Coturnix japonica: one gene and its partner. The protein of the gene in region 2 binds, or shares a complex with, the protein of the main gene of each other region. Links are inferred from orthologs where the notes say so. Each region holds a gene or a part of one and is shown on either strand. Other genes may lie near its edges.

Region 1 (3,516 bases), about 7.7 Mb from region 2:
GTTGCTGTACACCATTCTGAGAACTGTAGGAGAGTATGTAGGAAAGTGTTTGCTAGGAAAATGAATGTGTGAGGGATTGTATTTGCTCATTTGAACATTGTTGTAAGCAGCTGTAATTCGAATAGTTGCAAAACTGTGTATCCAGCTGAAAGACTTCATAAGCACTGTCTTTTACAGATGCAAGAAACCAGAGAGATTCTGCACTTTCATTATACTACGTGGCCTGACTTTGGAGTCCCAGAGTCTCCTGCTTCATTCCTCAATTTCCTGTTCAAAGTGAGAGAATCTGGCTCACTTAACCCCGAGTATGGACCTGTTGTGGTGCACTGCAGCGCAGGAATTGGCAGATCAGGAACTTTCTGTCTGGTCGATACGTGTCTTCTGCTGGTAAGATCTGCTGTGGAGATGATACGCTGTTTCAGTAGAGTTCCCTTGAACAGTGGTTTCTTCTGGCCTATGAAGAGCTGTGGTGTTTTCTGTGGAGTATTTTTGCACGTTATTTCTCTTATCTTACTCATATTCTAGTTTAAGACAGTCTTTCATTTTAAAACTAAGGTAGTGCAATCTTCCATTTCTGTGTTTTTTCTTAGTGTATTAATTCTGCAATAGGTAGAATGGTCTGAAAGCTGTTCTGTGAAGCCAGTCATCGTATTGAATCTCATCAGAGCATAAAGTGTGTTCCAAATTTTTTATCTTCAGATGGACAAACGGAAAGATCCTTCTTCTGTGGATGTTAAACAGGTTCTCCTAGAAATGAGGAAGTACAGAATGGGACTTATACAGACAGCGGATCAGCTTCGTTTCTCCTACTTAGCTGTAATTGAGGGGGCAAAATTCATTATGGGGGATGCTTCAGTGCAAGTGAGTATTATGGACTGTGGAACCAGATGTATAGTAAGCTGCAACGCGTTTTTTAACTGTAGCATAAGAACAAAACGAGCTTTAAATTCCTTTGGCTTCAATACATTTTTATATTATGCAGTACTAAAATACAACACCTCAGAATACTTCCTGTAGTCCTGTAGACTAATAGGTGGTGCCTGTGTACTTTTCAGCACCGTAACTGGGGCGTAGATTGGCTGCATCTGCCATGTCTTTCATCAGCTTTCTAAGAAGGCAGAAATTTAAGTACTGCAATTAATTCTTACAGCAGAACTAGCAACATAGGTTCTATTTCATGCTATTTAAAATTTCCAGATGTAGATTAAAATTTCTTCCTTTTATAGCTGATGTCTTCAGTGTACTGCAGATAGCTTAGATTTTGTATTATTTTTGTGTCTCTTTTTTCCCCTTTTTTTCAATGCAAATGAACAGGCATGCTAAAAATAAATGAGAAGGTAGAGTGTAACACCCCTGCCAACTTAAAGTTACAGTAGTTTACATAAAATAAACAGTGGAAAACGTAACAGGGCATTTCCTTCCCTGAAGGAACAGTGGAAAGAGCTCTCCAATGAAGATCTGGACCCACCACCTGAACATACCCCACCTCCTCCCCGACCACCAAAGAGAACCTCAGAAATGCACAATGGAAGGATGCACGAACATGCAGAATTCTTTCCTAAGCATCAAGTGGTAGAGGAAGAGATTAGATCCTCAGTCAGCACTGTTGAAGAGATGGTTCCAGATGGCAGAGGTTTTTCATCTGTGCCACTGATCACAGACAGGTAATTAATTTAGTTTCCCACTTCAGCTTGTTCATAAATGGCATTTCATATGGAAAATCCTGAACAGACGCTGACTGAATTAGTATAACAGCAGTTCCAAAACAAAGTCTGTGCATATTTTATGGAAAAGTTCTTCAGCATTTTTTTTAAATCGAGATCCTGCTGTAGTGAGAGAAGTGGCAGCAGAGCAAGGTGGCTTAGTCTCAGTTTACATGTGATGTGTACGTTACATTCAGTTACACAGGAGCTCTTTCACTGGAGGTGGAGCTGAGAGCTGGGCGGATCAGCTTTAGCTGCACTTAGAAATGTGAAATTAATCCTAAGCAAAGCTGGTTTTGATGAAAGGAGTAGAAGGGGCTCACGAACAGAGAACTTTTCTACCTGTCATTGCAACCTCAATTGTCAGGTGTGACAAACACACAGAAGTGCTGTATGACTGTGACCTGTTGGCCACTAGATGGCCCTCCTGCTCCATCCGAGTGGTGTAGAGCTGGTTAACTCATTTCTAAATTCAGATGGAAGTAGCAATGCAGCAGATCTGAAAGTTAAAGTTAATAAGCCTCTCTATATTTCAGTATACTATCAACATGATGGAGGTCTTTATCTAGAAAAAACGCATTAAATCGTATTAAAGATGGAGAAACCTTCAGTTCCATCATTAAAAGCCATCACAGTGCTCCTGGCCACTCTTACAATAGTACAAACCAACCATAATTTCAGCACTTTCTGACTCTTTGAGCAGCTGATTTCAGAACCTTGTTCTCCTCAGCTGGATGCAGGTTGGCCCTTTCTTGTCTCAGTGGCTGCAGAGACAGCAGATTTAGGATGAGCAGTGGAAGTAAGAGGTGGTTAAGGTTGGGTCAGCTCATTCTTTAAAGGGAAAATCCAGCACTGAACGTTTATTTATTTGTCCTTAAGCACTAGTCAAGACACTGAAATTCGGAGGAGAACTGTTGGTGAAAACCTGCACGTCTCAGCACACAGAGAAGAGTCGATGAAGTCAGAAAGCATAGAAGAGGATGATGAGAACATGATGACAACTTGGAAGCCGTTTCTAGTGAATATATGCATGTTCACCTTCCTCACAGCAGGAGCTTATCTGTGTTACAGGGTATGTTTTCACTGATGGACATGCCAGCACCACTGACCCCGCAAAAAACACCAACAATTTGATCGGTTTGTAATAAGCTTCTGTACAAGAAAGCTCCTTGAGGCACGTGAGCCTCATCTCCGCAGAGGCTCTTAGGTTGAAAGGCCAGAACTTTGGGCTTAAAGAGAGAATTGATGCACTAGGGTTTTACTTAGCCCTGTGGTCCCAAGAACGTGATATTCTGATCTCAGGGCCTTAAAATATTCAGGAGTAAACAGAGAAAATGCCAAATAGTCTGTTTTTGTTTTTGTTTTTTGGTTGTTTTTTTTTTTTTAACTAAATAATAGAATTACAACACATTGTTGTTCTTAGCCTTTTTTAAAAAGCCAGTTCTTTTTCTTTTGTGTCTCAGAAAAGCCAGGCGCAAACAAAACTTGCTTGTACTCTCCAAGTGTTGTAGCCAAATACATCACTTACATCGATGAGTTCCCGAGAAAAGAAAAATAAACCCACATACCTGGAGAATGTAAACCTTTTGGAAGGGGCGGGGGCAGCTGCGGTTGGGTGGGTTTGGGGTTTGGTTTGGTTTTATTTTTAACTTGCTTCATCTGTTAAGGACTGAGTTGTGGGCAGTGCCTGTGGTATTGATGTATTTAATCTTGGCAAAACTTTTCTGAAAGAGCTTATTGTTTTACGTTGTTTATAGAAACAGGCTTCTGCATTTGCTCAGGGTATGTCAACATGTCCAGCTCTTTTTTTCTT
Region 2 (4,180 bases):
TGCCCTGCCCCCCCACCGTGTGTTTTTGGTGCTACTGAAAGGTGAAGAGAAAGAAGAAAGAGGTTTCAGGGAAGGGAGTGGAATGCCTCACAAAGAGCATGGGTGGGATGGTGAGAAGAGCAGGGCTGGGAGTGGGGCAGGAGGAGAGGGCAGCTGGAGGGCTGCAGGTGAACGCGCCTCGGGCACAGAGCTGAGCCGTGAGCCGGGAGGGCCCCTGCCAGGGTGCTGCGAGGGCACGTTGCTGAGCCAGAGCCCCAAAGAGGAGAGGCTGGATGCCAGGAGTGTCTGGTGGCCATTTTCAATGTGGGTCTGGGCTCAGCCCGTGCAGCAGCACCTCGGGGCTGGGGCCGAGCCCGGTGCCCGGGGCTGTGCTGCCTGCAGGAGGCTGCGGGGCTGTGGGGCTGGGGCAGCCGCTGTGGGTGCAGCATCCATCCATGCCCTGCTATGCCCTGTAGAATTAACAACACCGAAAGGACTTTCCACGGACACCAGGCTGCAGTCTGGGGCCGCAGCCTCCAATTCATGCAGGGAGCGATGATCAGGCTGCTCCTGGCAGGAAGGCCCCCCCGTGCGATGCGCTGGCCGGTGGGGACGGCTCGGTGTGTGCATGACTCCCGGTGACTCATGGGTTTGTTGGCCCTCGGCAGTGTCACGGGAAATATTTTTTTAATAACTCAAATGAGCCGGGGGAGGGGTGCGCACTGCAAACAAACTCAGTCACCCTCCGCACTGATTCTGAAGCGCTGGAGTTTCCAGAAGCCCCCGCTCTGGTCGCTGTGAGGGGCAGCACGAGGGGTGGGCACGACGTCCACGCTCGTGGCTCCACGGGGAGGCTCACGGCACGCTCTTCTTTCCCTGTTTATTCCCCTGCGCTGAAGTTTTGCCTCCTCCCCGAGATCAGGGGGATGGGGACGAGGATGCAGGAGGGCGCAGAATCCATCACAAAGCGGCTGTTCGCTGCGTGCCCCGGTCGCTATAATAAAAGCGAACCGCAAAGCAGCCGGGTTGTAACCTCAGTGCAAATCACCGCTCTCCTCTCGCCGATCCCGGGCGGGCAGCTCGGAGCCGAGCTCAGAACCGCGCCGCGCTCCCACGCGTGGCCCCGCCGCGACCGGGCGGCTCCGGGACGGGGTGCGTCGGTAGAGCCGCGGGCGGGGGCGGCTCCGGTCGCTGCTCCGCACCCCGCCGAGCCCGGCAGCCCGGAGGCTTCTTCCTTAAAAGAAAAAAAAAAAAAACCCGAGGGGAGGGGCTCGGCGATTTTTCTTTTCTTTTTTTTTTTTTTTTTCCTATAAGCCGTTTCCGGTTTACTGCTGCCATATTCCTAGTTTTTTTTCCCTCCCTGTGGGCTGTTCCCCCCTTACACACACACACACACACACACACACACACACACCCCGTACAAGGGGTGATCGGGGGCGGGGAAGCGGCGCTCCGGATCCGCGGTGCTGCGCGATGCTGCCGGCGGCGCAGCCCTGAGCGTCCGGCACGGCCCGGCCCGCGGTGCGGGCACCCAGAGCGGCGGCGGCGGCTGCGGGGGGCGGCGGCCGCGCCCCCGGCACGGAGACAAAGCCGCGGCCGAGCCCTGGAGGGGAGCGGCGGGGTCCGGCCTCGCGGGGCGCACACGCGGGAGGTGAGCGGGGGCTGCGCGGGGTCCGGCGGCGGGGATGGTCCCCGCGGGGTCCGGCTGCGGGGCCGGCGGGAGATGCTCGCCGTGCGGTGGAGGATGCCCGGGTGGCAGCGGGGCGGCTCCGTAATGCCCGCGGTAACGGCGGGGCGGCTCCGGGTTGCGTGGGGCGGCCGTGGGTCCGGCGGAGAGTGCGCGGGGTCCCGGGGCCGGCTGCGGGGCTGCCGGGGGATGGGGACGGGCCCGCCGGGGGAGCGGAGGGGGGAGCTGCGGGGTCCGGCCCCGCCTGCCCGCACTCCCCTTTGTTGTGATCGGGGGCTGCGGGAAACACTGGGAGAGCAGAGCAGGGAGAGCCGGGCTGTGTGCAGGCCGGGGCATGAAATATTCATCGCCCCCCTGCTTTGATGTCTCCTGCTCCGTTTCCCTCTCGATATTCGCTCGTCGGTGATTCGGGGCTCGTGTCCGCGCTCCGCCGGGCGTTCGCTCTGCCCTCGCCCGGGGAGGCTGCAGAGCCCCGCGCTGCCCGGGGAAGGGCTGTACCCGGCCGGCAGGTTCTCCCGGAGCAGCCCGGCTGCTGTGCGTGTCTCCGCCGCGAGGAAGCACCGTGGGACTTGTCTGAACCACGCCGGGGCCTGGGTGGACTTTCCCCTGCTGACCGTGACCCCATGCAGTGCGCTCGGTCCCCGGCTCAGCCCCACGGCAGTTTGGTTTCCTCTTGACCGTCCCTTCTCTCTGCTGCCCGGGAGCTCTGAGGGTACAGGGAGCAGCTCCCGTGGGTGATGTTCCCCCACTCAGTGGTGTTTGGAGCCCGTAGGGTGCTCAGTGCCTGAGTGCTGGGAATGGGACAGCACTGATCCAACAGCATCGGATGTAAACGGAGCTGTGGGAATGTGGCAACAAAAGACTCAGTTTGGTGTTTTTCCTCCTTCCGTGCTGGTGCTCACCCCTGTCCCCAGGGATGTGATGGGGCATGTGGTGGGATGCCGGTGACCTTGTGCTTGGGAGCAGTGTGATGCTGTTGTTCCCCTGCACTCTTCTGCAGGATGATCCCCTGCTGCTGCTGCTTGTTTGTGCTGCTTCGTGCTGGCTCAATGGTTGGCCCATGGACAAACCTCTGCTGCTCAGTGTCTGAGATGAGGCTCCCTGGGGAGCACTGTGCCACTGTGAGCCTGTCTGTGATCCCACTGCACCTCTCCTTAGCAGGCTGTGGGCTGCACCCATTCCCAAGCTTTGACCTTATCTTCTTAGCTTTGGATCTTATCTGAGCACCTCGTGCTCAGGAGCTTCCCCAAAATACAGCCCGGTGATTTTGGAGCTGGGGTTGCTTATGGGCCATCACAGCAGAGGGATGTGCAGTGCTCGCTGTTAAGATTGTCAGTGGCCTTGCAGTGCTCCCTGTGTGATGGAGATGCCCTACAGATACCTCTGCTTTTGAATGACATTGTCCTGGAGTGACTCAAGATCACCCAGGTGGGTCTGTCTGTCCCAGCACAGCGAGGGAAGGGGCCGTAATTTGCAGAGTCTGATGTGTGAAGGCTCTGCTGCATACACAAGGAACAAACTGGTGGCACAGAGGGGACATGGGCTCCGGGCTGGCTCACAATGACATGTTTTAATGACCAGTGAGCACGTGCCACGTCTGGATGGAGAAGGGGTTGCAGCAAGCCCTGGGCTGGAGCACTCAGTCCACGTGCCTAAGGGGAAGCACAGCCGTGCATCACTGCTGCCCCGCACCACCCCAGGCATGGCAGGGGAAGCACCAAGGGCTATCTGCAGCACTATTGCTTCCTGTACCATCCGTCCTGCAGCACGGTTTCTAACTTGGCCCTTTATCTCTGGGAACCATTTCCCAGCTGACCTCACTTCCTCAGAGCTTCTGAGCTCAAAGCCCTCTCGGAAGTGTGGATGCAGGGTGAGCAGTGTGGGTCAGCTCCCTGGAGTGTGATGCTGTGTGATAGTCTGCTCTGCAGTCTGCTTGGCCAGGGGAAAAAGGAGCTGGTTGGTGTGGGCCATATGCTCAGTGCAGCCCTGCTCTGGTGCTGTGACCTTGGTGTGAGGGAAGTGGCACTGCTTTGCACATGCCTCTGCACATGCACAGGCTGAAAAGAAAGCCTTGAAACAGATTTCATGTGGTTTGAACGTGGGCCAGGAACCAGGACCTGTAAATCTGCGTCTTGCTCTGACTTCCCTCCAGGCTACGGATCTCCTCACTGCCCTCCTGGGCACAGAGCTGGGAATGCTTGGGATGCACTGGGAGCTGCCGGGGGGGGCAAAGCAGTGCTGGAGATGTGGAGGGGATGAAAGCAATAGTGGGGATACAGGGAGGAGAAGCTCTGGGGAAGCTGGGGTCTGGCTGGTGGCTTTGCTTCAGACCTTATGGGGGGCTGCTCCCAGCCCCAGGATGGCTGTGCTGTGCAGAGGTGTGGAGGAGCTGGAATACCCACAGTGTAACGTGAGGGGTCCTGTCTTGAGGTCTGCGTTGGTGAAGGGTTTGGAGAGGAAAATGGGGAACTGCAGCACCCGGAGATAACACAGTCTCACCCCTCAGCCTTTCTC

What was found. Proteins that work in one complex are often made in the same cells at the same time.
Region 1: the proteins of SRC (region 2) and PTPN1 are in contact, whole or in part, in a crystal structure (PDB 3ZMQ), measured with the Homo sapiens proteins. The link is inferred for Coturnix japonica from reciprocal best matches to the Homo sapiens genes SRC and PTPN1. Residues at the interface, in NP_005408.1 of Homo sapiens: Glu527, Gln529, Tyr530, Gln531, Pro532; in NP_002818.1 of Homo sapiens: Arg45, Tyr46, Arg47, Asp48, Val49, Asp181, Phe182, Ser216, Ala217, Gly218, Ile219, Gly220, Arg221, Ser222, Gln262.

Annotation. Positions count from the first base shown.
Region 1 is NC_029535.1:12,141,636-12,145,151, reverse strand, and holds part of PTPN1 (tyrosine-protein phosphatase non-receptor type 1), read left to right. Parts: exon of another isoform or gene 1-177; coding exon 178-387; intron 388-699; coding exon 700-861; intron 862-1,428; coding exon 1,429-1,664; intron 1,665-2,582; coding exon 2,583-2,790; 3' UTR 2,791-3,516. UniProt on the Homo sapiens protein: Tyrosine-protein phosphatase which acts as a regulator of endoplasmic reticulum unfolded protein response. Mediates dephosphorylation of EIF2AK3/PERK; inactivating the protein kinase activity of EIF2AK3/PERK.
Region 2 is NC_029535.1:4,438,622-4,442,801, forward strand, and holds the start of SRC (proto-oncogene tyrosine-protein kinase Src), read left to right. Parts: upstream 1-1,366; 5' UTR 1,367-1,630; intron 1,631-4,180. UniProt on the Homo sapiens protein: Non-receptor protein tyrosine kinase which is activated following engagement of many different classes of cellular receptors including immune response receptors, integrins and other adhesion receptors, receptor protein tyrosine kinases, G protein-coupled receptors as well as cytokine receptors.